Arabidopsis thaliana: one gene and its partners. The protein of the gene in region 1 interacts with the protein of each later gene in a biochemical or structural test. Each region holds a gene or a part of one and is shown in the gene's direction. Other genes may lie near its edges. The genes, in order: DCP1, VCS, XI-I and DCP5.

Evidence for each region.
Region 2: the proteins of DCP1 (region 1) and VCS form a complex in vitro, tested with the Arabidopsis thaliana proteins (one study listed by BioGRID).
Region 3: the proteins of DCP1 (region 1) and XI-I form a complex in vitro, tested with the Arabidopsis thaliana proteins (one study listed by BioGRID).
Region 4: the proteins of DCP1 (region 1) and DCP5 form a complex in vitro, tested with the Arabidopsis thaliana proteins (one study listed by BioGRID).

Annotation. Positions count from the first base shown.
Region 1 is NC_003070.9:2,635,221-2,641,937, forward strand, and holds DCP1 (decapping 1), read left to right. Parts: upstream 1-2,816; 5' UTR 2,817-3,134; coding exon 3,135-3,293; intron 3,294-3,373; coding exon 3,374-3,414; intron 3,415-3,501; coding exon 3,502-3,551; intron 3,552-3,686; coding exon 3,687-3,831; intron 3,832-4,032; coding exon 4,033-4,089; intron 4,090-4,240; coding exon 4,241-4,355; intron 4,356-4,545; coding exon 4,546-5,025; intron 5,026-5,090; coding exon 5,091-5,147; 3' UTR 5,148-5,443; downstream 5,444-6,717. Other genes in the region: AT1G08350 (Endomembrane protein 70 protein family), read right to left, coding at 1-29, 240-385; AT1G08360 (Ribosomal protein L1p/L10e family), read left to right, coding at 1,011-1,015, 1,428-1,647, 1,867-2,032, 2,215-2,474; PSAO (photosystem I subunit O), read right to left, coding at 5,784-6,054, 6,272-6,344, 6,441-6,519.
Region 2 is NC_003074.8:4,301,006-4,310,294, forward strand, and holds VCS (Transducin/WD40 repeat-like superfamily protein), read left to right. Parts: upstream 1-2,819; 5' UTR 2,820-3,079; coding exon 3,080-3,793; intron 3,794-3,885; coding exon 3,886-3,935; intron 3,936-4,089; coding exon 4,090-4,246; intron 4,247-4,334; coding exon 4,335-4,553; intron 4,554-4,873; coding exon 4,874-5,002; intron 5,003-5,150; coding exon 5,151-6,674; intron 6,675-6,915; coding exon 6,916-7,275; intron 7,276-7,357; coding exon 7,358-7,477; intron 7,478-7,605; coding exon 7,606-7,776; intron 7,777-7,870; coding exon 7,871-8,035; coding exon of another isoform or gene 8,036-8,131; exon of another isoform or gene 8,132-8,423; coding exon 8,424-8,549; intron 8,550-8,644; coding exon 8,645-8,944; 3' UTR 8,945-9,270; downstream 9,271-9,289. Other genes in the region: VCR (varicose-like protein), read left to right, coding at 1-44, 309-668, 750-869, 1,065-1,235, 1,339-1,488, 1,592-1,717, 1,809-2,108.
Region 3 is NC_003075.7:16,010,326-16,016,623, reverse strand, and holds the start of XI-I (myosin), read left to right. Parts: upstream 1-1,654; 5' UTR 1,655-1,831; coding exon 1,832-1,975; intron 1,976-2,088; coding exon 2,089-2,235; intron 2,236-3,095; coding exon 3,096-3,241; intron 3,242-3,336; coding exon 3,337-3,493; intron 3,494-3,674; coding exon 3,675-3,733; intron 3,734-3,974; coding exon 3,975-4,131; intron 4,132-4,280; coding exon 4,281-4,430; intron 4,431-4,520; coding exon 4,521-4,657; intron 4,658-4,748; coding exon 4,749-4,895; intron 4,896-4,989; coding exon 4,990-5,091; intron 5,092-5,226; coding exon 5,227-5,284; intron 5,285-5,367; coding exon 5,368-5,469; intron 5,470-6,186; coding exon 6,187-6,224; intron 6,225-6,298. Other genes in the region: SLOMO (F-box family protein), read left to right, coding at 1-116, 213-276, 383-469, 567-653. UniProt on the Arabidopsis thaliana protein: Myosin heavy chain that is required for the cell cycle-regulated transport of various organelles and proteins for their segregation.
Region 4 is NC_003070.9:9,022,653-9,030,147, reverse strand, and holds DCP5 (decapping 5), read left to right. Parts: upstream 1-2,192; 5' UTR 2,193-2,591; coding exon 2,592-2,742; intron 2,743-3,046; coding exon 3,047-3,147; intron 3,148-3,226; coding exon 3,227-3,301; intron 3,302-3,391; coding exon 3,392-4,351; intron 4,352-4,523; coding exon of another isoform or gene 4,524-4,543; intron 4,544-4,636; coding exon 4,637-4,708; intron 4,709-4,836; coding exon 4,837-5,010; intron 5,011-5,090; coding exon 5,091-5,201; intron 5,202-5,340; coding exon 5,341-5,532; 3' UTR 5,533-5,807; downstream 5,808-7,495. Other genes in the region: ICME-LIKE1 (alpha/beta-Hydrolases superfamily protein), read left to right, coding at 51-152, 241-381, 754-819, 929-1,072, 1,163-1,253, 1,340-1,492; AT1G26100 (Cytochrome b561/ferric reductase transmembrane protein family), read left to right, coding at 6,067-6,189, 6,283-6,334, 6,466-6,662, 7,094-7,432. UniProt on the Arabidopsis thaliana protein: As a component of the decapping complex, involved in the degradation of mRNAs. Promotes P-body formation. Translational repressor.

The DNA of each region.
Region 1 (6,717 bases):
ACGGCAAATCATAGTATTGATAGGTCTCACTGCAAACAAAACAAAACACCAAACTTTAAAATGGGGTTTAAGAAAATGTGCCATCTTTGAGTTCCATGGTCAAACTAAAGCTAGAACAAAAACATATCTTACACATTCTCTAACTTGATCTCCTCCTCTTAGATTACTCACCCGTCATCATAAGCCAATAAAAAGCAAAATGCATAAGAATTACCAAAAGATTTGAATTTGAGAACAACCTCGGATTGTGGAGAGGACCCACTTTGTTGACGAACAAAGGGACATGATCGCCGGCATTATAATGGTTCGACGAGCCTGATCCGATTCCGATCCAGAAGGTCAATGCAAGTAGGACTTGTAGTACAGTAAGCAGAAATTGCGCCATGAATTGGCACTCTTCTTCTGCTGGGTTCCAAAAGAAACGAATCAATATGTGCAACAAGAAGAGCTCCAGAAGCAGTCATCTTCTAAAATCTTAATCTAACAACAGCTCAAGAAGAAAAAAATTCCATAGCTAGAGAGAACACAAAGTCACAAGACGACGTCGTAGAGGCACAAAGTCAAACCTGAATGGCTTAAGCCGAACTGAGTGGTTTTGACTAGACCATCATCAGAAAAGTCTCCAAGACGGTAGTCGGATGTTAGATCGCTCAAGTAATTTTTGGTTTTGTTGGTCTCACGTTTTCAGCTGCCCATTTGATTTCAGTTTGGGCTTTTCCTTATCTCTAAAGGCCCAATTTCATTTAGGTTTAGTTTATTTGATCATTATCCTTACTATAAAGGCTTCGCCTTTCGAGAAATTTAGGGTTTCTTCTGTCTGTCTCGTCACTCAGGTTTGTGCCTCAACGACTGCTTCACTTCTAGCTTGATTCTTCTTCTTCGTTTATATGTATACTGTACATTAGATTATTCTTGTTTCTCGAGCTTCTGCTATAGATTTTGATTCTTTTTTTTGTTGTCTTTGTTTCGTTTCCAGGATCAGATCTTAGCTAAATTGAGACAAGCTCAAAATGAGGTACTTGACGCATCTCTTACATTCACTGTTTAATTAGAGAACAATACGTCTCTGAATCGTGATTCAGAGACGTATTGTTCTTCTGTCATATGCAATAAGTTTAATTAGAGAACAATACGTCTCTGAATCGTGATTGTTTTTTGGATGTGCGTTATTGATAGCTTTATGATGTTAATAGTCTAGGATTGACACGAAGTTGTTCTGCAGTTTTGCATAAATGCTCTTTACTAAGGCCTCTAAATTTGGATGACAAATCTAAATCTTGCCTCATAAAAATTTAGGTGTATTAAGATAAGATTATTTTGTATGGTAGTGTCTATAATGTGGGTTGTTCATGTTGAGGTTGTCAATGTTGTGTATTTTTGTTTGTTTAGTTAATTTGCTTAACTCTGTTCTTTGTGGGTTAATACAGTAAGCTTCAGAGTGAGGCCGTTCGTGAAGCCATCACTACTATCACAGGGAAATCCGAGGCAAAGAAACGTAACTTTGTCGAGACTATTGAGCTCCAGATCGGTCTGAAGAACTATGACCCTCAAAAGGACAAGCGTTTCAGTGGATCTGTCAAGTTACCACATATCCCCCGTCCTAAAATGAAGATCTGCATGCTCGGAGATGCCCAGCATGTTGAAGAGGTGATATATCTTTTCATGGAAATTGATCATTTTGTGCTCTGTTTCTTGTATAATGGTTTTGTGCTCATTTCATTTGGTGGCTCTATTAGTTTCATTTGATGTTGTATATGTCTTCTGAATGTAGATGCATGATGTTTTCGGAATTTGGTCATTGTTTATTTAGGCTTCATTTCTTGCATAATTAAATATTTGCTTATTTCATCTTGTATCTTTTCGTAGGCTGAGAAGATGGGGTTGGAAAACATGGATGTTGAGTCTCTAAAAAAGCTTAACAAGAACAAGAAACTCGTCAAGAAGCTTGCAAAGAAATACCATGCTTTCTTGGCCTCTGAGTCTGTCATTAAGCAGATTCCTCGTCTTCTTGGTCCTGGTCTTAACAAGGCAGGCAAGTTCTGGCTACAGCTAATATTCCATTGTTCTTCTTTACATCCGTTTTGATTTTGGATAGGTTTTAGTAGTCTATTTCTTTTGTCAATGTCTTTTTGATACAATGCCAATCCTTTATCCTGTGAGATTATGCTTCTTTGATGATTCTTAAGTAACATTCCTTTGCTTTACTTTACACAGGAAAATTCCCAACTCTTGTGAGCCACCAGGAATCCTTGGAGTCAAAGGTGAATGAAACAAAGGCAACAGTGAAGTTCCAGCTGAAGAAGGTTCTGTGCATGGGAGTTGCAGTTGGTAACCTTTCAATGGAAGAGAAGCAGATCTTTCAGAATGTGCAGATGAGCGTCAACTTCCTCGTCTCGCTATTGAAGAAGAACTGGCAAAATGTCAGGTGTTTGTACCTCAAGAGCACAATGGGACCACCACAAAGAATCTTCTGAGCTTTCACCTACTTAAAATTGGTGGCTATAAGACACTTCTTCTTACCCTTTCGTTTTTGTTTCAGACATATCTGTTAAACAGTGTAAGAGTTGTGCTGCTACTCTCCTCTTTAGCTTTTGGTTTGGATAATTTGAAATAACTGCAGTGATTTTGGTTAATGGATTTTGTAGCTTATATTATCTTTGAATTAGATGTGCTTATTTCAAAGACGAATCAATCCACAGATGTGAATAAAAACAGAAATTTTCGTTTTCAATTTGAAAATTGTCCTCGTGGACTGTTCCATAACCAAATTCTATTGACTATGCAGTAATTGATCTTTGAATTAAAAGGATCAACCCACTGATTATACTCCAATTGAATAAATATTCTTCTTTAATGTTGTTTATAATCTCTTAAGCAAGCTCTAATGATGTATTTTTGAAGCAAACTCTAATGCTTTTATGGTCAGTATATTTATTCTCTTAAGTTTTATAACTAAATTACCATTTTTTTTTGCCAAAGCAGACAACAAAATAGCGAAGTGCGTTCCAAAAGTTAGCGTTTTCGTCTCCGTCCCCAAATCTCTCAGCTACCTTAAATCAGAATTCTAGGGTTCTTCCGATTAGGGTAAAATCGAATCCAGATTTCCCAAAATTCTGATCTTTGATTTATAAAAGATGTCTCAAAACGGGAAGATAATCCCAAATCTGGACCAAAACAGTACGAGGCTCCTCAATCTCACAGTTCTCCAGCGGATCGATCCATACATCGAGGAAATCCTCATCACAGCCGCTCATGTCACTTTCTATGAATTCAACATTGAGCTCAGCCAATGGGTTAGTCTCAATCAATCTTCGATTACATAATTTGATGTTTGCTTCCCTACCTAATGATTGATCTGTCTTTTGTCATTCAGAGTCGTAAGGACGTTGAAGGATCTTTGTTTGTTGTCAAAAGGTTACTACTTTCGATCTTTAACTATGTGTATCTTATCTTTAATCGTCTTCTCAAATCTGATTGGATCCTTTTTTTTGTTTCTTTCAGAAGTACACAACCTCGATTTCAGTTTATTGTGATGAATCGTCGTAATACAGGTCAGGATTTATTCAAATAAAGTTGGTGTGTGTCATGTGTCTAGAAAAGGTTTAGATTTAGTAATATATTGCAAGTTCTTATTTAAGGATTCAGTATTAGTAATCATCAGTGTGTTGCTGTATTTGTCTGGATAGATAATCTGGTGGAGAATCTCCTGGGAGATTTTGAGTATGAAGTACAAGGTCCATATTTACTTTACCGTAATGCATCTCAAGAAGTAAATGGCATTTGGTTCTACAATAAACGTGAATGCGAGGAGGTAGCAACTCTTTTCAACAGGTATGTATATATAAGTCACTGCATATCAGGTAGAAACTGTTGGTTTCAATTGTTGGATCATGAATAATATCAATATCGTCTTTTATTTGCCTATTATCAGACAGTTACTTGTTGGCAAATATAATGTTCTTGTATATTTGTATGAACTTGAAATTACTCTTACTCGTTGTATCTCTGCCTAATGGTTCCTTGGCATGACAGAATACTCAGTGCATATTCCAAGGTTAACCAGAAGCCAAAGGCCTCATCTTCAAAGAGGTAATATTTTCATGATTAGATTTAGTTAGTACACCATTAGTTGTTTCTTGGATGTGTTTTCTTTGAGGTGGAAACTTGATAATCTAAATCATTTTTCCCGCTGTTATATCTCTTACTTGTTAAATTAAGTTAGATTTTCTATGTACTGCAGTGAGTTTGAGGAATTGGAAGCTAAGCCTACAATGGCAGTTATGGATGGTCCTCTTGAACCATCATCAACTGCTAGGGATGCCCCTGATGATCCTGCTTTTGTCAACTTCTTTAGCGTAAGTTTCTAAAGCTTCTGTTACACACTCACACTATCATCTTCACCATGACAGCATCTTATACGACTAATGGCAGGAGGGCTTTCTATTAGTTCTAGCCTTCTAGGTTCTTGAATTATCTTCAGCGTAGTATATGGTCCAACTTAGACTCCTCAAATTGTAACACTGAATTTATCTAAATTGTTGACAGTCAACGATGAATCTTGGGAACACTGCGAGTGGGTCAGCAAGTGGACCTTACCAATCATCAGCGATTCCTCACCAACCTCACCAGCCTCACCAACCCACCATTGCTCCTCCTGTAGCGGCAGCAGCACCTCCACAGATACAATCACCACCGCCTCTACAATCCTCCTCTCCTCTGATGACTCTCTTTGACAACAACCCTGAAGTTATCAGCAGCAACTCCAACATTCACACAGATTTGGTGACGCCGTCTTTCTTTGGCCCCCCACGAATGATGGCACAGCCACACCTCATTCCTGGTGTATCTATGCCCACTGCTCCTCCTCTCAATCCTAATAATGCGAGTCACCAGCAGCGGTCATATGGTACTCCGGTGCTCCAGCCTTTCCCACCCCCAACTCCACCACCATCACTCGCTCCTGCACCCACTGGTCCGGTTATCAGCAGAGACAAAGTGAAGGAAGCCCTTTTATCCCTGTTGCAGGTTCGTCCTTTACCACATCACTTTATTTGAGCTGCTGTGCAAACCTAACGAGTTGCTTTTGACAGGAGGATGAATTCATTGACAAGATTACCCGAACTTTACAAAATGCACTTCAACAATGAAGCTGCGCTGGTCAGCATCTACGTGTGGGATAGTGGCTGTTTGATCTAGAATGTGTAGTTAAAATGTAGTTTTGTTCCCTCTGAAAGTGTTGTTGGAACCTTATAAGATACTGCACTGCCCCCTTTGTTTAACTCTTGGAATTACTTTTTCATTTTATCTACTTTCAAGTTTTTACCTTTCCTCATCAATTTTTGTTTCGTAGTCGAAAGACATGTTAAAGACTTTAGATTCACAAATCTTCATGCATGTTTAGAGTTTATTGGAACATATACACATCAAGATTAATACAAAAAACATGAAAGAGTAAGAAGAAAGAGAGATAATTTTTCTATTTTTTAAAAGATTCGAGATTGCAAGACAAAAACTGTTTGTATGGTTCAAGTCAAAGACGTATTGTGATGTTTCGTTTTGAAGTATTATCCCAATCTTTTGTGAGCTTTCCCTCGAGAAACGCTTTTAACATTTAATACTTTAGTTAGACTGACAGACATTCTTAAAATCAAGATCATATAAGAAAGACTTGTCGAGATATAGAATGAAACATCAAATAGCAAAGAAAGCTTTGTTTTGATTGATAATATTACACATAACCAAGAGAGAGCATATAGTACAAACGAAAACAAGAATAGTTATCCTTAGAAGTAATCTTCAGTCCTGCCCTTGAATCCGATTTGTCCGAAAGTGAGGCAGAGGAAGAGGCCTAAGTGCCACGTAACCAACCACAACCAGAACTGTGAAGTGAGAGCTGGAGGAGTCGGGAAGTGAGCGAGCTCAGTTCCGATGCTATCGAAGAAGAGACCCGTCAGGCTCTTCCCATTTATCGCTGGAATGCTCGACGGAGCTAGCCATCCGATCAGCCCAAATCCTACCACGTTCAAATCTCTCCTCAACCAGTTCCTCTCAAAGCTTTAATTCATTTTTGACACAAACAAATAAATTTATTAGAAAATACCCTAAAAAGCACCTCAAAATTAAAACAAGCTTTATTAAGTTCCTAAGATCAGTTAGGACTCATTCCTATATCTTAAGTAACATAACTAGTGATACTTCTGGAGTTTTAAGCATTTTCATAAAATGTGATATCTTTGTTATTACTATGAGAAGAAAATAAAGAGTAACCTACCAAGTGACTCTTCCTCCCGATGCACCGGCGAGTCTCAAAGGGTTCTTGGCGCTTAATGTTGGTTTTAAAAAGGCTAAAAAACATACGAGAAATCACAAATCAAGATTATCATATGCATATATATGTTTGATTGAAATTATTCGAAAAGAGAAAGAGAGAAAAAGAGTACATGAAGAGAAGGGTTTGGTGGTGATGGATGATCCTCCGAGGCCTATCACCGTCGATGGTGTTGCAAATGTTGCTGCCATTTTTCTTCTTTGCTGCTTTCTCCCAAACTGATCTCCTTTATTTTTTTAAGTAAATACAACACAAACACAAGAAATAGATTTTTATTCTGTGGACAAAGAGAGAGATTTCGAGGATGTGTTATCAATCAATAGCTTTGTGACACCTCATTATTTTCTTTGATATTGTGGGTCTATTTCTTGGATAAGATTGATTCCAGA
Region 2 (9,289 bases), on another chromosome or scaffold:
ATTTACTTCCTCAGTTGTTAGCATTGCAAGAAACAATGACTCAGGTGACATATTTATCTTGAATCTAGTTAAAACTTATTTCTCTTAACAATATTTGTTTTTATACTCTTGCATCGTTCACTGAGATACACTATTAAGCTTGGTGTTACCTTGATTTGGCACATGAGATCCTTTGTTACATTCGTTTTGAAACGAAAATCAGATTTGGTATATAACTGGCATTTATCGATGATCAGTTTTTGCTTTTCATACCTTGGTAATTTTGTTTGATTTTTATTTGTTGACCTGAAACGTTATTACCCTTCCAGGTAATGGCTTCGCAGAAGGAGATGCAGAGACAACTATCAAATGCTGTCACTGGCCCTATCGTAAAAGAAGGTAAAAAACTAGAAGTTGCCTTAGGGAGAATGATTGAGAAATCCAGCAAGTCAAATGCTGATGCTCTATGGGCCCACTTCCAAGAGGAGGCTGTTAAGAATGAAAAGGCATTACGTGACCATGGCCAGCAAATTATGAATGAAACGACAAACTTCACGAGTAAAGAGTTAAATGCCATGTTTGAGAAAACGATGAAGAAGGAATTTGCTTCAGTTGGTCCAACCCTAGCACGTGTAGTAACTCCAGTTATTGAAAAAACTGTATCTTCTGCAATCACAGAGTCCTTCCAGGTTAGTAATTTAAGAGAAATTTAGAGCTGATTTATGAGAAGGTCCATTGATGAAAAAGAAAACTGATTTCTCTTTATACAGAGAGGAATTGGTGACAAAGCAGTCAATCAGCTTGAAAAATCTGTTAATTCAAAGCTTGAAACAACCGTAGCCAGGCAGATTCAAGCCCAATTTCAGACATCTGGCAGACAAGTCCTGCAGGTAAAAATTCGAGTTTAAACTAGTTTTTTTATGCCTTACTGTCTCTTGTATATATATTTTTTATGCTTTTCAGACAGTTATGACTGATTGACTGGTTATATATACAAGTCTTGTGCATACATTCTCAACTGCATCGTTGTTTATCGTAAAAGCAGTTGTCTCTTATATATATTTGCTGCCATTTGTCAACTTCAGGAAGGTCTTAGGTCAAGTATGGAGTCCTCAGTCATACCTTCCTTTGAGAGGTCATGCAAAACCATGTTTGAGCAAGTAGACTCAACCTTACAGAAAGGAATTGGTAAGCACACGAGCGCAACACAGCAACGGATTGACTCTGGACAATCTCAGCTTGCTCATACTCTGAGGGTATGATAGAAAATCGTCCTTCTTCCAGATTTTTTGGCTCTTTCTTCTAGTTATGGTAGCAAAATCCTTTTTTAATCCTCATGTTAAACATGCTTTTATACAGGAAACCATTAGTTCTGCATCATCAGTTACTCAAGCCCTAAATCGTGAATTAGCCGAGAGTCAAAGGAATCGCTTAGCTCTCACAGCTGCTGGATCAAATCCCTTGGTTACTCAACTAAGTAACGGGCCTTTAGGTGCTCTTCTTGAAAAGGTTTGCACATCTCTGGATCAAATTTCTTACCATGAATATTTTGTCATTTTCTGCGTGTTTGACATGTATATACGTTAACTGCAATGCATCATTGTTGTTTCAGGTTGAAGCACCTATGGACCCAACAACAGAGCTATCAAGGTTGATATCTGAACGCAAGTACGAAGAATCTTTCACATCAGCTCTACAAAGAAGCGATGTCTCTATAGTATCATGGCTTTGCTCACAGGTGAATTCTTTTTTGGATTTCCTGCATCATAAGATCTCATAACCATCAGTTTTGCGTAACATCCCATGACACTGGTGTTGTGCCAATTCAGGTGGATCTTCGTGGACTACTGGCGATGAATCCGCTTCCGCTGAGCCAAGGTGTGCTTCTTTCACTGCTGCAGCAGTTAGCTTGTGACATAAGCACGGACACATCCCGTAAGCTAGGTTGGATGACTGATGTGGTTACAGCCATAAACCCATCAGATCAGATGATAGCGGTCCATGCTCGCCCAATCTTTGAACAAGTTTATCAGATTTTGCACCATCACCGTAACGCACCAGGCAGCGACGTCTCTGCCGTCAGACTAATAATGCACGTCATCAACTCTTTACTTATGAGCTGCAAATGACATCTCGCTCTCTCTGTTTCTTCTTGTTAGTTACATGCATAAAACATAGGAAACCTCTCTTCTCTGTATTTCTCTCTCTACTCTAGTTAGATTTTTTTTGGTTACCCATTAGTTCAATTTCCTTTAACTGTAAACATCTGGTTGGTTCTACGTCTATAATGTTCCCTTTTTCTTCTCCGAGAGAATGAGTTTGCTAGGATCTGGAAAACCCTGAGAAAACATGAAGATCATGTATGGGCAGGGTATACTGATTTTCTAATGAAATTGGTTTTGAAGTAACTACAAGTTACCTGCAGAATAGACAGATGAGTTTGAAGACATTATGGGAATCTGGTGTGGCAGTAAGCAGAGAATTTGTCAAAATTGAGCAATTGCAATAAAAAATCTTTTTCTTTACTTTTGAGTTCAGTTGATCAGTTTTTGGATTGAAGGGTATTTGCTGTTGGGTTCGGTTGCCTTTACTTGCATGTGAGCTCAGCTGACCATGAATTCAGAATCCTTGTCATCTTCTTCTCTTTTGTTGGAGGTTCCGATGAAGAGCAAGAAGTTGGAAACAAATGATGGGTGAATCTCTGGAAATGTAAATAGGGCCCAATAATTGAAATTAAAGGCCCAAACGAGTAAAATCTGAAAATTGTTTTACAGAAGCGGTCTCATATTTTAGATATAAACACGATCATCACCCCAAAACTTTTCGTGATCTGGGACATGCCCAATTTAATATTTTCATTAAAGAAGAAGAAAAAATAGCTAAGTCTCCAAAAGTTCTCTACCTGTTCTCACTTTCAAGTCATCATCGTCTCTCTCTCTCTATTGTTGCTCTCTCTCTCGCTTTTTATGTGACTTTCAGATCCGCCGAGTCTTCTTTTTGTGGAATCTTTTCAAGGAGCTCAGTATTCTATATACACCTCTCTTTGTTTGATCGATTTCACAAACCCTAGCTTCGGCGATCTTAAATCTGCAAAAAATCTATGGCGTCTTCTCCTGGTAATACTAACCCTCACAATACTCCTCCGTTTGATCTCGGTATTCTCTTCAAACCTTCATCCAATCCTTATCCGCCACCGGCGGCATCTTATCCTCCGCCTACAGGTCCTTTTCTTCACAACCAGTACGATCAGCAGCACTACGCTCCGCCTGGTATCTCCGCTCAACCATCTCCGGTGACTCAGCAGCAACAGGATGTGTCTTCCTCTTCCGCCGCGACTAACTTGCATCCTCAGAGAACGCTGTCTTATCCCACGCCACCTCTCAATCTACAATCCCCCCGTTCCAATCACAATCCCGGTACGCACATCCTCGCTCTCCTTAACAATACCAACAACGGAGCCCCCGTGGCTAACCAAGAGCCGTCGCATCAGCTCCCAGTAGTCAATCACAACGAGATCGCTCGCTCTTTTCCCGGCGGTTCAGGTCCTATTCGTGTACCGAGCTGTAAATTGCCCAAGGGAAGGCGATTGATTGGTGAACACGCTGTGTACGATGTTGATGTGAGATTACAAGGTGAGATTCAGCCGCAGCTGGAGGTGACTCCGATTACCAAATACGGGTCGGATCCTCAGCTCGTAGTGGGTAGGCAAATCGCCGTGAATAAGGTTTACATTTGCTATGGATTGAAAGGAGGAAACATTAGGGTTCTCAATATCAACACAGCATTGAGGTCTCTGTTCCGTGGCCATTCACAGGTTCATTTACTTTTTCTCTGTAATTTGTGAATTACTTACTTATTCAAGTATAGTAGGTACTCATCTAGTTCTAACTACGGTTATATATCCAGAGAGTGACGGATATGGCTTTCTTTGCCGAGGATGTTGATATGTTGGCCAGGTAATGTTTTGGAACTGTCGTCTAATTAGGCTATGCTATTTGTACATATATGGAAGAGTGGCTCATTGAATTCTTCTTTGTTTATTAGAGTTTTTCTGGTTAGCTTCTTCGACTTTGTGGTTTATACCTCTATTTTTCTGTTTCTTTTAAACAGTGTTAGCCTAGATGGAAAAGTTTTTGTGTGGAAAATTTCTGAAGGGTCTGAGGGAGAGGATCAGCCCCAAATAACTGGGAAGATAGTACTTGCTCTTCAGATACTAGGAGAGGAAGACACCAAACATCCACGCGTTTGTTGGCACTGCCACAAACAGGTAGTTGAACATATTTCTTTTGCTACGAGAAGTTGCATAAGATTCTTCTTAGAACAAGCTTCTGATTGCTTAAATGTCATTTTTTCAGGAAATTTTGGTAGTTTCAATTGGTAAACATGTACTGCGTATTGATACTACAAAAGTTGGCAGAGGTGAAGTATTCTCTGCTGAGGCTCCTCTCCAGTGTCCCCTTGATAAGCTGATCGATGGTGTTCAGATTGTTGGTAAGCATGATGGAGAAGTGACAGATTTGTCAATGTGCCAATGGATGACCACGCGTCTGGTTTCTTCTTCAGTTGATGGCACGGTTTGTGTTTGTTCATATCATCCCTTTTCTTTAAACCTCTCTGAAATGAATCATTCCAAACAACCCAAGTTTATACTGATTACGTTGCAAACTGGGTCTAATCCTGACATTTTTCGTAATTAGAACTAGCCAGCCTTGTTAGTAAGTGCATTTGACATCCAATTACTATTCTAGCACATTTTGAATTTTTTAAGGTTTGCTAAGTTCCATTTCTGACATGCACTGGGTATCATCTCTTTTCAACCAGGAATTATTTTGCAACAGCTAGTATTTCTGTGTGTGTGAGTCTTACTCTTTCTTTCCTTATAACCATCGTACAGATTAAGATATGGCAAGATCGTAAGGCACAACCACTTGTAGTTTTGAGGCCTCATGATGGACATCCAGTCAGTTCAGCCACGTTTGTGACATCTCCTGAGAGACCTGATCACATCATACTTATCACGGGGGTAGTTTTCTTGAATCAATACTACTGACTTTTCTCAGCTCTATCTAATCTCATTTGGCTTTGCTGTGTTGTGTTTACATTTTATACTTGTAGCTTTCGTTTCTGCTAAGTTGCTAACTCTGTCAGTGTTGGCAATGTTCCTCTCATAGGGTCCTCTAAATCGAGAAATGAAAATCTGGGTCTCTGCTGGGGAAGAAGGGTGGCTTTTACCAGCTGATGCTGAATCATGGAGGTGTACCCAGACTCTTGACTTGAAAAGTTCAACCGAGCCACGAGCTGAAGAGGCATTTTTTAACCAAGTCATAGCATTATCTGAAGCAGGCTTGCTTTTACTTGCAAATGCAAAAAGGAACGCCTTATATGCTGTGCATTTGGACTATGGTTCTTCTCCAGTTGGTACGCGGATGGATTACCTATCAGAGTTTACAGTCACTATGCCCATATTGAGTTTCATTGGGACAAATGATCCTCCAGAAGAACCCATTGTTAAGGTTTATTGTGTTCAGACTCTAGCAATCCAGCAGTATACATTAGACTTGTGCTTATGCTTGCCACCACCTATAGAAAATATGGGTTTGGAGAAGTCAGATTCTAGTGTATCACGAGAGGCAAATCTTGTTGAAGGCATGTCAGAACCATCTGGACTTAAACCTACTGACTTACCTTCAGTTGATTCAGTGCCAAAACCTTCGATTATAGTGAATAGATCAGAAAGTGCTAATAAGTTGAGTTTTCCATCAGCGGAAGCCACATCACAAGCAATTGTTCCACCCAACGGTGAACCTAAAACTTCTGGCCTGCCATCTCAAACCAGTGGTGCAGGTTCTGCGTATGCTACTTTACCCCAACTTCCTCTCAGTCCCAGACTATCAAGTAAACTTTCTGGCTATCACACTCCTGTAGAGGCGATTGAGCCAGTAATACCTCATCATGAGCTTGGTGGCAAAACACCTTCTGCTGATTACTCTGTTGATAGGCAAATGGATGCTGTTGGAGAAAGAAATTTGGACGTGTCATCCGTAGAAGAAATCTCAAGAAGCAAGGACTCAAATGTTACGCCTGATGATGATGTGTCTGGGATGCGAAGCCCATCAGCTTTTTTCAAACACCCCACTCATCTTGTAACTCCTTCAGAGATATTGATGGGCGTTTCTTCCGCTGAAGCCTCCATTACTACTGAAGACAGGAGAGATAGGGATGCAAATATTCAGGACGTGAATAATGATCCAAGAGACACCGAAGTAGAGGTGAAAGAAATAAGTGAAGCAAGGTCAACACAGAATGGTGAAATCAATGATCATGACGAAACTGAGAATTGCACTTCAGAAAATAGAGAAAAAGTCTTCTGCTCACAGGTTTCAAATCTCAGCACTGAGATGGCAAGAGACTGTTATCCTAGTACTGAGGGAACTTTCATTCCAGGGGAATCTAAGGCATATGGACAACCTATAAAGGCTGGAGATGAAAGTGGTGTTGACTCGAGAGGTGGGCCTGCAAAGCTTCTTAAAGGAAAGAAGCAGAAGGCCAAAAATTCACAGGGTCCCGGTTTGTCATCTACATCCTCAAATGTTGCTAATCTGGCTGACTCCTTCAATGAGCAAAGTCAGAGTTTAAGTCATCCCATGACAGATTTACTTCCTCAGTTGTTAGCAATGCAAGAAACGATGAATCAGGTGACATATTTGGTCTAGAAGAAACTAATTAGAACCCTATTTCTTAACAAAATCTGTTATTATACTCTTGCATCATTTCACTGACACACTACTAAACTTGTTGTTACCTTGATTTTGCACATAGGAGTTCCAATCTTACATTCGTTTTAAATAAATAACTTACATTTATCGATGATAAGTTATTGCTTGGTAATTTTGTTGTTCTTTTATTTGTTGACCTGAAACATTATTTCCTTTCCAGGTGATGGCTTCGCAGAAGGAGATGCAGAGACAACTATCAAATGCTGCCACTGGCCCTATCGGAAAAGAAAGTAAAAGACTAGAAGTTGCGTTAGGGAGAATGATTGAGAAATCCAGCAAGTCAAATGCTGATGCTCTATGGGCCCGCATCCAGGAGGAGACTGTTAAGAATGAAAAGGCATTACGTGACCATGCCCAGCAAATTGTGAATGCAACGACAAACTTCATGAGCAAGGAGTTAAATGCCATGTTTGAGAAAACGATAAAGAAAGAATTGGCTGCAATTGGTCCAGCCCTAGCACGTTCAGTAGTACCAGTTATTGAAAAAACTGTATCTTCTGCAATCACAGAGTCCTTTCAGGTAAGATTTTACGAGAAATTTAGAGCTAATTTTTGAGAAGGTTCATTGTTCTTAAAAGAAAGCTGCTTTCTCTTTTGTACAGAGAGGAATAGGTGACAAAGCAGTTAATCAGCTTGACAAATCTGTTAATATAAAGCTTGAAGCAACCGTAGCTAGGCAAATTCAAGCCCAATTTCAGACCTCTGGCAAGCAAGCCCTCCAGGTAAACTTGAGGTTCACCTAGCTTTGTGGTAGTTTATAGAAGTGTCTATAAGTCTCCAACTGCATACATAGTTTAACGGAAAGGGAGTTTATCTCTTATATATATTTCCTGCCGTTTATAAACTTCAGGAAGGTCTTAGGTCAAGTGTGGAGTCCTCAGTCATACCTTCCTTTGAGAAGGCATGCAAGGCCATGTTTGACCAAATAGACTCAGCCTTCCAGAAAGGTATTGCTGAGCATACAAATGCAGCCCAGCAACGGTTTGACTCTGGACACTCCCAGCTTGCTCATACTCTAAAGGTACGATGGAAAATCATTCTTCTTACAGCTCTGTTATGGTTGCAAAATCCAATCATTTCTTTCTTCTCTCTAAAGCTGCTTGCTCGTTTTACAGGAATCAATTACTTCTGCGTCGTCAGTTGCTCAAGCCTTAAGTCGTGAGTTAGCCGAGACCCAAAGGAATCTCTTAGCTCTCGCAGCTGCTGGAGCAAATTCTGGTGGGTCTAATTCCTTGGTTACTCAACTAAGTGGCGGACCTTTGGGTGCTCTTCTTGAAAAGGTTTGCACATCTCTGGAACTAATCACTAACCATAAATCTTGTTTTTGTTTAGTGCATGAGCATTTTAGTTACTCTTGGTGGCTTTTCGCTGCTTAGCAATCATAGTTGAGGCGGTTAACTAGAGAAGAGAACTAACAGCTTAGAAGGAAGTTTAGGCAGAAGAATTGAGCATTCTGGATTGGTCTAGGATCTGCCTTGGGCTTAGGAGAGTTTATGGTGCTCACCCCTAGGGTTCTCTATCTTTGGTTCTTGGCTTAAGTTTATTCTCTGTTCATCTTTTGTAATTGAGTCAGAGAGCATATAATTAGAGAACCATTTCTGCTCTTATCCGAATCCTAATCTGATGTCATTTTCTGAGTTTTGACTATCGCAACATATGTCCTTTCAGGTTGAAGCACCTATGGACCCAACAACAGAACTATCGAGGTTGATATCTGAACGGAAGTACGAAGAATCTTTCACTTCGGCCCTACAGAGAAGCGATGTCTCTATAGTATCATGGCTTTGCTCACAGGTGAAATTTTTGTTTGGATTTTGTGCATCATAAGATCTCATACATAACCCATCAGTTATACATAAGATCCCATGAGATTGATTGTGCCAATACAGGTGGATCTACGTGGATTACTGGCGATGAATCCGCTTCCACTGAGCCAAGGCGTGCTTCTTTCACTGCTGCAGCAGCTAGCCTGTGACATTAGCAAGGACACATCCCGTAAGCTGGCTTGGATGACTGATGTGGTTGCAGCCATAAACCCATCAGACCAGATGATTGCGGTCCACGCTCGGCCAATCTTTGAACAGGTATATCAGATTCTGCACCATCACCGCAACGCACCGGGAAGCGATGTCTCAGCCATCAGACTGATAATGCACGTGATCAACTCCATGCTTATGGGTTGCAAATGATATCTCTTATCTCGTTCTCTCTTCTTGTTCGTTGCTTATATAAAACATAGGAATACAACAATCACTACTCTTCTCTGTATCTCTCTACATTTGTTAGATTTTTGTTTCATTTTTGGTTTGAATTTTGTTTTTCTTGTTTTTTCCATCCTTCTTTTAAATGTAAAATCTGGTTGTTTTATATACGTTTACTATTCACTCTTCTTCACAAGAATATCTTATGTGTAAAAGCCAAATCAATGTTTGGATTAAAGCAGTAACTTTACCAATGTATTTGCTTTAGATTCTTCACAGGTTGTTTGTAACTATTTTATTTCTTCTTGTTGTCTTTGTCAACTACAGTATCTT
Region 3 (6,298 bases), on another chromosome or scaffold:
GTGCTGATACCACCTGCAGCTCGCTTTTACCATTTATCAACACTGAACCTTTCGTTATCGGTCAATCTGAAGGAGGTTGATCTCACCTGTTCCAACCTGGTTTTACTTAATTTAAGGTTTGAGCTTTTGCATTTGCTAGATAACTTATATTCTTTATCTTCCATGAAATGAGTGGTCTTATTCTATTGCTAATTCCATTTCGAATTGTCTAGCAACTGTTGCTCTCTGGAAGTATTGAAGCTCGGCTGTCCAAGATTAGCTAGTCTCTTTCTTCAGGTATGTTTTTGCTCCGTAACTTTTACCACTAAACACACTTTGGTACCTTAAGCTTGGGTCTATATGTTACCACTAAACACACTTTGGTACCTTTTGTCTTTGGTAGTCTTGTAACATGGACGAAGCAGGAGTTGAAGCGGCTATATCAGGATGCAGCTCACTCGAGACATTGGATCTTCGTTTCTGTCCAAAGGTACTAACAATAAACGAGTGTTAACTTCGATATTGAAAACTTAGCAAGTAATCCATTTTTATGTAACAATTAAAACCTTGTCTTGGTGAATTAACAGATATCCTCGGTGAGCATGTCAAAGTTCCGAACAGTGTGCCCTAGTTTGAAACGCGTTTTCAGCAGTCCAAATCTCTTGCAAGATTAGGGTTTTGCGCCAAATGTTTGATTATATACAACTTTTTCTGCAGATTATAGAAATAATGTGTTGTGTGGTGTGGTGTTTGGGTTGTAAATGGCTCCAAGTCATAAGTTTCAGTAGTGCATATAGGCCTCTGGAGTTTGTACTGTGGCCTTCTTAGGATGCTTGTGTGATGACACAAACCTAAACAACATTAGTACTTTTTTTGTGTACGTGGTTGATGATATTGTTGCTACTGTTATATGTAGATCTTATATTTACCTTATCAATTTACCTTTTAAGCTTTGATCCACATTGACTCACATAACAAAGATAAAAATTAAATAAAACTTTTGGAATAAGTAGGGGGTAAGAAAAATTTAGTATATTTTTTGGAAACTAAAGTCTAAAATATGAATGAAGGAAGAAATCTGGAATGTAAATTTGGACTCATGCGTATTGGATGATAATAATTTGGACTTCTTCTTCCCCCAAACTCTTATTTGGACTCTCATCACCATATATGAAATTACAACAACAATAATCGACAACAAATTTTGGAATATTTTCTCTATAAAAGAGATCTAGTAATTATAATAAATATAAATAAACCTCACTAACTATCGTTTAAGAATGTTATATTCAAATATTGCCTTCTACATTTTTGACTTACTATTTTTAATTTGCTAAATTACTAAAAATAACAAGTTTTTAGCGTCAGTAAATTAACTACACAGTTTGTTTTACTAATGTGAAATCAATTTTGCGAGTAAGGATTAAACCCTATAAATGATTCGAATCAAAGATAATAAACTTGGCATTTACTCCGGAATGTGACGTAAATTTTTATCCCTAAAAACTTCTGTGTTTTTGTTTTGGATCTAGTCTTCTTTTGTTTTTTAATGCAAAATCCGAGAGGGCGGGAAGTAATTGTTGTTGTTGATGCTCTTTTTTTTTTTTGTTGCTTTTGGGAACTTTTTTGGGTAGCGGTTTAAGTAACTTTGAACCTTTAAAAAAAAAAAACTCCACAGTAGTAAAATTTCGCCCCTTCTCTCTCTATCTCCTTAGGGTTTCTCAATTCTTCTTCATTTTGAAATTTGAAAAATTCTCTGGCGCAACCTCACGGACTCTCTTTCTCTCTCTATGACTCTTGCTTCCCCCAATCTAATTCTCTAGGGTTTTCTCGTCGAGCTCTTCACGAGTTCATGAGAAATTGTCTTCCAATGGAATTGAATCTGCGCAAGGGCGACAAGGTTTGGGTCGAAGATAAGGATTTGGCTTGGATTGCTGCTGATGTCCTCGATTCTTTTGATAACAAACTCCATGTTGAAACTTCTACTGGGAAGAAGGTCTGATTAACCGTTATTTCTGCTGAATTAGCTCTGTTTCTTCTTCTTCCTCTTCTTCATGCTTTATTCATGCTAATTTTTGCTGTTGTGCGATTTTTTTTCTGGGGTTTTAGGTTTTTGTTTCCCCGGAAAAGCTATTTCGGAGGGATCCTGACGATGAAGAGCATAATGGAGTGGATGATATGACCAAACTGACATACTTGCACGAAGCTGGTGTTCTTTATAATCTACAGAGGAGATATGCTCTGAATGATATCTATGTGAGTTCTTTTCACTCTTTTTTTCTTTGGTATTGTTTATTGAGAGGTCTTTCTGAGTATATTTGGAGTTTGAATTTTTAGTTTCTATACTTCCGGGGGTACTTTATTGAGTCGGATTTCATTCCGTATGGAAGTTTACTCATTTTCGTAGTGGTATTAGTGTACTCACTGGCCGGAGTTTTCCTCTAGAACGAGTTACTGTTGCTTTTGGAGTTTCTTGTGTATTAATATGTGGTGTAAGACATGTTTCCATGTGAAGTGGATTCAGGTTCTTTATGATGGATGCATCTAGATGTGACCTGATATATTATTTAGCCGAAAAAGATAGATATCGAAGTGAAGAAATTTATTGTGACATAATGCATATATCATTACAGGCATTTACTTGCCTATTTGGTATCTAATCGCACTTCAAACATCTTGTGATCTAACCCTAACTATTGCTTTTTTCAATATTAACAATATTATTGGCGGGAGCGGGATAATCAACCTTGTGTATTCGTAACAACTTTTTGTTAGTTTGTTGGACTGCCCTGTGACTGTGAATTATTTGTAGGTTCAATATTCCTTCTAAAGTTATGGAGAGCTTCTGTTCCGTATTTAGTAGGTGAAAGTATCTATTTTTTAGACAGTTTTGTACTCAGCTGGCTTGCCCTTTTGTAAAACATTTGGTGGCAGCTTGGTGTCTAATTTATTTATGTCCCCATTGAGATGATAATATTTAGTTGGAAGTATTGGTGGTAATAATTCCTGTATCATTCTTTTTGCCACTCATAACTGTCAGCTTTTTACGCAGTTCCAATAGTAAATCATTCATGACTGCATTATCTTCTTACAAATACGTTCGACTTCTTTTTCAGACATACACTGGAAGCATTCTGATCGCTGTTAATCCATTCAAAAAGCTTCCACATCTCTACAATGGGCACATGATGGAACAGTACATGGGAGCACCATTCGGTGAGCTCAGTCCTCATGTTTTTGCAGTTTCTGATGTTGCATACAGGTGATCCACTCTTTTTTCTCTAATGTTTCTGATTTTTTAAAATCTTACTATCAGTCATGTTAATCTATTAACCATAGTTATTCTTTATAACCCAGAGCAATGATTGACGACAGTCGAAGTCAGTCAATACTTGTTAGCGGTGAAAGTGGAGCTGGAAAAACTGAGACAACCAAACTAATCATGCAGTATCTTACATTTGTTGGGGGACGTGCTACTGACGATGATAGAAGTGTTGAGCAGCAAGTCCTTGAAGTAAGATTTTGGTTATAAAATTTGTGTCTTCTATCTTGTTCAATGAGAAAAAAAGAACTGGATAGATGCCTTTGTTTTCCTCCCCTGGTATTTGTTTGCAGATAAATATTTAGGGGTGATCATGTTTGACTTTCTTTATTTGCGAGTTATCTATTCTAATTTAAGTATTCTTGTTCTGCAGTCAAATCCTCTCTTGGAAGCATTTGGCAATGCAAAAACAGTTAGAAATGATAATTCCAGGTGGGTTATTGATTTTTTTTTTTCTTTCTGTTTATTTTTTCAATGAAAATTGAGAGGTGTATCTTTAATTGCTCTTATGTCATTTGTCAACAAATTTTTCATGATAGTATCCTTAATACCCAGTGATAACAGCACTTTATGATGTTGATATGGTTTTAGTAAACCTTTTGGTTGAAATTTTGTGTGCCTAGCTTTTAGACGAATCTACTGACCAATCTACTGATCTTCTTTTGCTGTTCAGCCGTTTTGGAAAGTTTGTCGAAATCCAGTTTGACACAAATGGTAGAATATCTGGTGCCGCAATCAGAACCTATCTTCTGGAGAGATCACGTGTTGTCCGGATAACAGACCCCGAGAGGAATTATCATTGTTTTTATCAATTGTGCGCTTCGGGGAATGTAATTCTTTTTACAGCTCTATATACATGTCATAAGAGATTGGTTTTGGTTTTCTTATTATCTGATTGAGCTACGCCAGGTTTTTCTCGCTGAGTTTGTCAATTTACCTACGCTAATTACTAATCTGTAAATGTTCTTATTTTGCTTAGGACGCTGAGAAATATAAACTAAGCAACCCTCGTCAATTTCATTATCTAAATCAAAGCAAGACCTATGAATTAGAAGGAGTCAGCAGCGCAGAAGAGTATAAGAATACAAGGAGGGCAATGGATATTGTGGGCATAAGTCAGGATGAGCAGGTATAACGACTTCTAATTGAATTTTCATATGTTTTTCTTCTGCCAGCTTCTGAAATTCCTTGCTTGTTTCCTGCACAAATCATTTATCAGGAAGGGATATTTCGCACACTTGCTGCGATTCTACATCTTGGAAATGTTGAGTTTTCCTCAGGGAGAGAGCACGACTCTTCAGTGGTAAAGGATCCGGAATCTAGACATCATCTGCAGATGGCTGCTGATCTTTTCAAGTACATAAAATTTTCTGATAGTACTCATTTTTAATTATGCATACGAAGAAATAGCTTGTTTATTTTGTTGTATCCATGCAAAATTAATCAGGTGTGATGCAAATCTTTTGCTGGCTTCGCTCTGCACACGTTCAATTCTGACCCGTGAAGGTATCATTATCAAAGCACTTGACCCTAATGCTGCTGTTACTAGCCGGGATACCCTCGCGAAGACTGTTTACGCCCATCTATTTGACTGGTTTGCTTTCGACTTTCTTAATCCTTTCATTTAATGGATGTTTTGTTGATGTACTACACTTATGTTTGAACTATTCGTTTTATGCTTCTGTCAGGCTGGTTGATAAGATCAATAAGTCTGTTGGGCAAGATCCAGAATCTCGTTTTCAAATAGGAGTCCTGGACATTTATGGCTTTGAATGTTTTAAGAATAACAGGTTAGCGATGATCCATGGAACTAATTAAATGATAGTTCTTTCCTTTCTCAGCCCCAATTCTTTGTTAGTTATATATGGTGCACTATGTTTAGCTGTGAACTGTGTAAACTTTATCTGGGCTGATTCATTCTGCAGTTTTGAACAATTTTGCATCAACTTTGCAAATGAAAAGCTGCAGCAACATTTCAACGAGGTAATATAGGGAACTCATTTTCAAATGTTTTGCCAGATTTAGTATATTGCTTCCTCTCCTTATGGTCTCTGGTCTGTTTTCAGCATGTATTCAAGATGGAGCAGGATGAGTACAGAAAAGAAGAAATTAATTGGAGTTATATCGAGTTTATTGACAACCAAGATGTCTTGGACCTTATTGAGAAGGTACGTTTCTCTCTATTTTAATTAGATTAAGATTTTAGATCCTGTTCTGTTCTACTTTCTTGCCCCTTCGCCTTTTGTGATCTTTGAAACTTGCAACAGCTTAAATTGTATCAGACCTTTAACATGGGATTTTGATCATGGTGTCAATATATCATGTCGTTTTATTTATTTATTATAGTTTTACTTAGATTGTCGAGTAAAGAGTTCACCACCCTTTAAACAGGGGATTTGTTGAATCATGTCAACTCAAAAAAATTCGAGCGGTTCAATGTTAATTTTTCTCCTGTGACATTACTCAACTCCATAGTTTTGAAATTAACGGTATCACTAATGTTACATTGTACTGTGTCATACGTTGGGCTGGTTAATGTAGCCAATACATTTACCGTGTCTAAAGTTACTCAAGCTGCCATTGCTATTCCCATGATAGAATATGGATGATAAAGGTCCCAGTCTATAAATGCAAGAATGATAGAATTTTGTGAAAGACATTTCCCTTTTTGGTCAATGGTTTTATTGCATTCTGGTATGGTAGACTTTGATAACAGAGATAACATAGAATAGTGTATCTTCTTTTCAAGTTTTCTATTGTAGTTGCCAGCCTCAAGAATTGTGTCCTTTTTTTAATGTTTTTGCTTTGTTATAATCAAGCAGACATGACAGTAAAATTGATCTATCTTCTTCTAATTCTACTATTATTATTTTTGCTGTCTGCAGAAGCCTATTGGGGTGATTGCACTCTTAGATGAAGCTTGGTACAATATTCCTGTCTCATCTTGTTTGTCCACATACGTGTATTTTCTTCGCTCGCTGACTTATATTTGTTTGC
Region 4 (7,495 bases), 6.4 Mb from region 1:
TATTCATTTAGAGTTTCTCAATCTCATTGGCAATATCTCCTCTTACACAGGAATTTTCCGCAAGGATCTATTAGTGACATGGTCAAGGATGCTTCTTCTGGCATCTCATTTGTTTGCAATCATATTGCTGAGTATGGAGGTGATCCAGATAGGTACTAGTCCTGTCAACAATTATTAGACATGGAAGTTCTCGAGTTTTAGATTTCTTACTCACTGATTTCTGATCTTTTTGCTGTGTAGGATCTATCTGATGGGTCAGTCTGCTGGTGCACATATCGCAGCTTGCACCATTGTAGAGCAGGTCATTAAAGAGTCAGGGGAGGGGGACAGTGTCTCTTGGAGTAGTTCACAAATAAATGCTTATTTTGGTCTATCTGGAGGGTAAGCAAAATCCTTTCTTTTGGTCTCAGAGTTCAAATGACTAGATTAATAACTTGTTATTTTGGTCTTCCCAGTTATAAGGATAAGACGATACATTGGAATGTAAATTTTTCTGTCAAGAAGTTGAGAAAAACAAGTTTCTTTAATTGCCTGAGTATTTATATATGTGTTAACTCCAGTTTTTATCTAGCCACCAAGGTCTTTTGTAGAAATGCTAGGCAATTCGTAGAACGGTGAAGTAATGGTCAAATATTAGCTCAAAGTAGCAAGTAGATTCCTGCCTTCTACCCAACTAAAGCAACAAATTTTTTGATGAGGCCTCACATCATCTGCTTGGCTATTCTTAACAAACTTTGTGATCGTGATCTACAGATACAACCTTTTGAACCTTGTGGACCACTTCCATAGCAGGGGGCTGTACCGTTCCATCTTTCTGAGGTATAGCATTTTCTCTTTTGGAATCTTGGTATAGCTTACGTTACTCACCTGGCCAGTAGAGCAGCCTGAAATTTTTACAGTTTAACGTGTGACGTTTGATTTTCCTCAGCATCATGGAAGGAGAGGAATCATTAAGGCAGTTCTCTCCTGAATTAGTAGTGCAAAACCCGAATCTCAAACACATCATTGCTCGTCTCCCACCTTTTATTTTATTCCATGGTACTGATGACTACTCCATCCCGTCAGATGCAAGGTATGGTTTAACTTTTGTGTGTATTTGTCTGTCTTATGTATATCAGAAAGTTAAGATGATGATTGAACTTCTATTACACTATCTTTGCAGTAAATCTTTTGCGGAAACCCTCCAGAGGCTTGGGGCCAAAGCAAAAGTGATCCTTTACGAGGGGAAAACACACACGGATTTGTTTCTTCAGGTAAAATGGCCGGTCTTTTTGAGGTATGAATGTCTTGTCGGACAAGAACCTGAATTTTGATCTAGAAACTTGGTTATCTATGTTAGGATCCAATGAGAGGTGGAATAGATGAGATGTTTGAAGATATAGTAACAGTGGTTCTGGGAGACGATCAAGAAGCGATTGGTAAAAGCGTAGATAGAAGGCGTCTTGTACCTGAATTCATGTTGAAGTTGGCTCACTGGGTCAGTCCGTTCTAACTCCTACACTCTTATCTCCCAGAAGATCAAAGGAAGTACATTCCTTCTTCCAGTGATACAGACGGGTCAATGTGCATATTACTTAACAAGGAAAACAGATCCCACTATACTTTGACGATACAGATGATTTTGAACTTTGATGATGATGATATTGTATCCCGGTTTGCAAATACACTGATTATTTCGTCATTGCCTGTTTGTGTTTTTGTAGAACACTGAAAGTGCATTAAAGAAACAAGGCTTCATTGACTTTGTCACCTTAATTAAACTGTCTTTGGTCTTCTTCTTCTCTGATCATTAATCATTGGTTGCACTATTTTCTTGGCATCAGTTGACTTCTCTACCTATATACAAAGTGCCGAACCAGTGTCATTTAACAAGGAAGAAATGTAGGTCTGATTTTTTTTTTAATAATTAAAACTCTCCAAAGGTGTGATTTTCTTGAGAAAAAAAGGTGTGATTTTCTTGACAAAAAAAGGTGTGATTTTCTTAACCCCAATTTTCAACTAAAAATGTAGGTGAAATCACCAAAAATATTTCTCAAAATTCATTTTTTAAAAGGCCTTTTAATTTATGAATAACACTAGATTTGATACTAGGATTAATATGTAAATAATAAGCTCTAACCATCCTACCAAAATAAAATAATAAACTCTAACCAGAGTAAGCAATCAGAACACGAGCCGTGGGATTGGAATGGCTCGAGTAGGCTCGTAGCTACTCGCCTAAACACACCATTGGCGGTGAATTACGAAATAAACCCTTCGCGTGTACACGAGGCATACTTCGGTTAGTGATTAGAGAGAAGTCAATGGAGCCATACTAGGCTATAATGGTCAGATTGATATTATTTTCTGAATTGGGCTTTTATGGGAATGGATAATAAAAAAGAGATGCTCGATCTCCCCAAATTAGAGTAAACCCTAATTGTGTATCTGTAGCTTTCTCTCTCTCTCTCTCTCTCTCTCTCGCGAAGAAGAAGAAGAAGAAGGAGATCAAGGAACTCGAAGTGTGTGTGTGTGTGTTTGCCTTCTCTTGTCTTTTAGTTTTTTCTCTCTTTGGCTGTGATTTCGTCGGCGAAGAGAGACATAGATCGGATATGGCGGCTGATAATACGGGTTCGAAATCGAGCTCCGCTGCGGATTCTTACGTTGGGAGCTTGATTAGTTTGACATCTAAGAGTGAGATCAGATACGAAGGGATCCTTTACAATATTAATACAGATGAATCCAGTATCGGACTTCAAAACGGTACGATCCGTTTCCACTTCCGTTTCGGGATTACCAGATTTGTTAAGTGTTAATTTTGGTGGTGTTTTCTCTCGGATTTGGTAGAAACTAATGGTTTCTTCCGTTAATCGTTAAGAAAGTTTTCTCCAATCTGAACTGTTTAGCTCGATTTGAAAGGAATGTTGTTTTAGTGCTCATGTCTATTACTTGAGTTCTCAAATTGTAATTGATGTCTTGAAACTATTGGTTGAGCATAAAAGATCAGTGTTTAAGTGGTCGATGAGGTAGATTTTGGTTCTGATCCCTGAACTTTTGTTGTGTGTAGTTCGATCATTTGGAACTGAAGGAAGGAAAAAAGATGGTCCACAAGTTCCTCCAAGTGACAAAGTTTACGAGTACATATTGTTCCGTGGAACTGATATCAAGGTATTCAGCAGGATTATGCTAATACTTCTATGTAAGTAGCCTGCCGATTTTGTACTCTGATTGTTCTTGTTGTTGGTAGGATTTGCAAGTCAAAGCTTCTCCACCAGTTCAGCCTCCTGCATCTACTATAAATAATGACCCTGCTATAATTCAGGTGAATGTTAGAAAAGTTGTAAGATTACATTGTCTGGGATTTTGGAGTCAATTGATGTAACCCCATCCTCCACTTGTCTTGGTTTTGCAGTCTCACTACCCTAGCCCGATGCCAACATCTGGTAGCTTGCCTTCTACTGCGAGCGGGTCACTACCTGACATTAGTTCTCATAATGGACAACCTGGACAACATGGAATGGGATTTCAAAACGCAATGCCTTTGTATCAGCCTGGTGGAAATCTTGGTTCATGGGGAGCGTCACCACAACCACCAATGTATTGGCAAGGTTTCTACACCCCACCTCCCAATGGCCTTCCCCAATTGCATCAGCAGTCTCTGATTCGACCCCCTCATGGGCTGCCAATGCCCAACTCTCTTCAGCAACCCCTGCAATATCCTAACTTTAATACCCCTCCTCCACCTACTGGGTCATCATCTTTGCAGGGGTCAAGCTTGCCAGAAGCACCCTCTTCATTGTTTCCTTTTAGTACCAGTTCTCAAATGTTAGCTCCTAGTTCATTGCCTTTCCCTGGTCTACCACCTGTGACGCTCTCGTCTAGCCTGCAGTCTACACTGCAATCAGCACCATCTCCTTCACTAGCTTCAGAGATGGCACCTCCGTTGCTGTCAAACAAAGCTCCTATTACTGCTCCTCCTACCCTACCTCAGGATACTAATTTGCTTTCGTTTTCTCTATCTACTACGAGAGCCACAGAAGCAAGTACTGGCCTTCCACTGTCTAACAAGCCTAGTGTAGTAACTGGTCCAATTTCTCCGCCGCAGACAACACCATTAACATCTGCTCCTGTTGCGGGAGTTTCTAGTTCCATTAGCCAAGATAAGCCAAAACCTTTGTTGGTTACTCCTGGTCAACTGCTGCAGTCTGGATCTTCTGCAGTCTCTTTGTCCCCACCCTCGACAAATGCTGATAAAGATGTTGAGGTGGTTCAAGTATCGTCATCAGCTGGGTTGGAACAATCTGTTCCAGTTACATCCGAAGCCCAACCTCCAATACTGCCATTGCCTTCCTCTGCAAGACCAACTCAGAAGGTTTTTAACTTACATAACATGCCAAATCCTTCAATGTCTCTTATTAATATCATAAAGAACCTTGAATTTGCTGGTGTCTTAGTTAGCTGGAATAAGGTGTAACTGTTATAACTGCACCTGTGGTAATTCCCATTTTAATATTCCATGCTGTGTCTCTTTTGCTTTGTTGAAGATGCATGAAAATCTCTCAGGGTTCTTTGGTGTATAAGATGGTTTCTTTGCATGTCTACTTATAAGTCTTCATGGTGAAATTATTTAAACTCAATTGCTGATTTTTTTTCTCAGCCAAACGGGCATTCTTTCCCAAATCATAATGGTTACAGGGGACGTGGAAGAGGACGAGGAAGAGGAGCAGGGGTACTATTCTTCTCACTCATTTGTAGAATGTGACGGCATTTATTTGTTTTTACCAAGGAAAAGATCTACCAGTTTAAAATAGCTCATGAACTTTAGCCATGTATGCTAATAATTCTTCTTGTTGGCAGAGATCACACCAAGTAATGAAATTCACTGAAGATTTTGATTTCACAGCAATGAACGAAAAGTTCAATAAGGATGAAGTATGGGGTCATCTTGGGAAGAGTACTACCTTAGATGGTGATGAAGATGATGATTCCCCGACTGTAGATGAGGCTGAGCTTCCTAAGATCGAGGCCAAAGTAAGTGAAGTAGACTTATAATCAAGTAAAGCCACCATATTCTCCCTCTCTGGTCTCATCCACATTGTTTATTGATGTAGCCTGTTTACAACAAAGATGACTTTTTCGATAGCCTATCATCAAACACCATTGACCGAGAGTCCCAAAATTCAAGGCCTAGGTTCTCAGAGCAACGGAAACTAGATACTGAGGTACAATCTATATATTTCCACACTCTGAATAGCAAGCAGACTGGACAGAGTTTGTCCCCCCTCGTTGCTGGAGATACTCGAATTCCCAGAATCGTAAGAGAATCCCATTGACTAACAGAACGTATTGCTATGATTTCAGACATTTGGTGAATTCTCGAGATTCCGAGGAGGTCGAGGAGGGCGTGGTGGTTATGGACGAAACAACGGTTACTCACGTGGTGGTTATGGAGGGCGTGGTTATGGCGGTTATGGTGGCCGTGGCGGCGGCGGCGGTGGCTACGGGTATGGTGGACGTGGCCAGGGGAGAGGCGTATCAAATCGTACTACCTAAACTGTTCTGCTAGAAAGGGCTCTAAAGACTCAAAATCCAATGGGAGCTCAGCTCTTGAGTGCTTTTGGTATGTGGCAATAAAACAAAAACCGAGTCCCGTGTAATGTTTTCTGTTATAAAACCCCACTTGTGTGGTTTTGGAGTGTATTAATTTGATTTCTGATCTTTGTTTTTAAGACTTGGTAATAGCGTCGTTCTTCTTATATCCAATGTTATTTTGAACTTTTGTATACTCGACATTTGGTGTGAAATGCATTTTCTATTTACTCTCAATAGCTTGTTGCTGTTTACTGTTGGTAGCTTCTTGTCTAAATTTCAAAAGTCAAACATTTTGACTTTCAATACAGTACCAGCAGCCTTGAATCAAATGGGCCTTATTAAGAGATAGAGAGGTCTTCTTTATACAAGATCCATAAAATGTCCTCTCTATTTCTCAAATTATCATTTTGTCGGCAACTCTAGTGTCTGAGAGACTGTAGTCACTGTACTCTACAGTAGCACTACTTACTCAACTTTTGAAGAGAGAAAACAGAAATGGGAAGTGTAGATCCTTCAAGACTATCATTGGTCTTGTTTGCGAGACTGTCCGGTTTAGTAGTCGCAGTTTCGGTTCTGTACTGGGCTCTCTTCCTGCCTAATCTAGGACTCAGCTACTCTGTAACTATCACACTCCCTTCCTCGTTGATATCAAATTGGATCTCTCTCTCTCTCTCTCTTTCTCTCTCTAATAAAGTTTTTATACCCTTGTAGACTCTTCATCCTCTGCTGATGGTGATTGGCTTCATTCTTGTAAGTGGAGAAGGTAGTGATGATCCCTCCTCATGCCCCTTTTGAAGATTTCCTCTCTCTCTCTCTCTCTCTCTCTCTCTCTCTCTCTCTCTCTCTCTCTCTTTCTTGAATATTTTATCAAGAACTTGGGGTTTTGATCTGCAGCGATTCTGATACACAGATGGTTGCCTGGTTCAAGGAAAACAAAGAAAGCTGTTCATTTATGGCTACAAGGAATGGCATTGGCCTCTGCAGTGTTTGGGATTTGGACAAAGTTCCATTACCAACGTGGAGTTTTCGCCAATTTCTACAGTCTCCATTCTTGGATGGGTTTGCTCTCTGTTTCTCTCTTCGCTGCCCAGGTTCGTCTTTTTCCTCTTTCCACCACCAACCAATATTATTTTTATCTCTATATTATACTAGCACTAAGCCTCTGAGATAAAGTTTTAATGCATCATCGAAAAAGAACTAGATGCTTTCCAAGATTTAAATTATTTCAAAAGGTCGGATTACACGTTACTGTCTTTATGATTTCTCTCTCTTTAGAAAATGTTTTCTCAACAATAATGCAAAGAATGACAAAAGGAAGAAACTGTGTAACCCACTTGGGATTAGATTCTAATTTGTTTACGGAAGCTGAAAGCTGACAAGATTCCCTTTAAGAGACTATGAAACGATTTATTAATTAGACCCATTCATTACTGTCACTTCAACCTATGCTCTATGTCCTAAATATTTTATTGGGGTTGTACTAGTTTTGAAGATTGATTAGTAAAATGACGTTGTGTTGCAGTGGGTGACTGGGTTCATGAGCTTCTGGCATAGAGGAGAAGTACGGACTACAAGAACCACGTTTCTTCCCTGGCATGTATTCCTCGGACTCTATACCTATGGTTTAGCCATTGCCACAGCTGAGACCGGACTGCTTGAGAAACTGACGTTCCTTCAGACCAAGAGGAATGTCCCCAGACGCGGTTCTGAATCAATGACTGTCAATGGTTTAGGGCTTGGCTTGGCTCTACTCGGTTGCATTGTTATAACTGCTGCTATTTTGCCAAAGTATCAGAGCCATTCTCGTGATGAGAAACTCGTTTATTCATCTCAAGATCGTCCTAAATGTTTGTCTTCTTGAGTTTTTAATTTTCATTCTTTTTAGTTTGTATTGGTTTGGGGACAAACTACACATCTCTGGTGT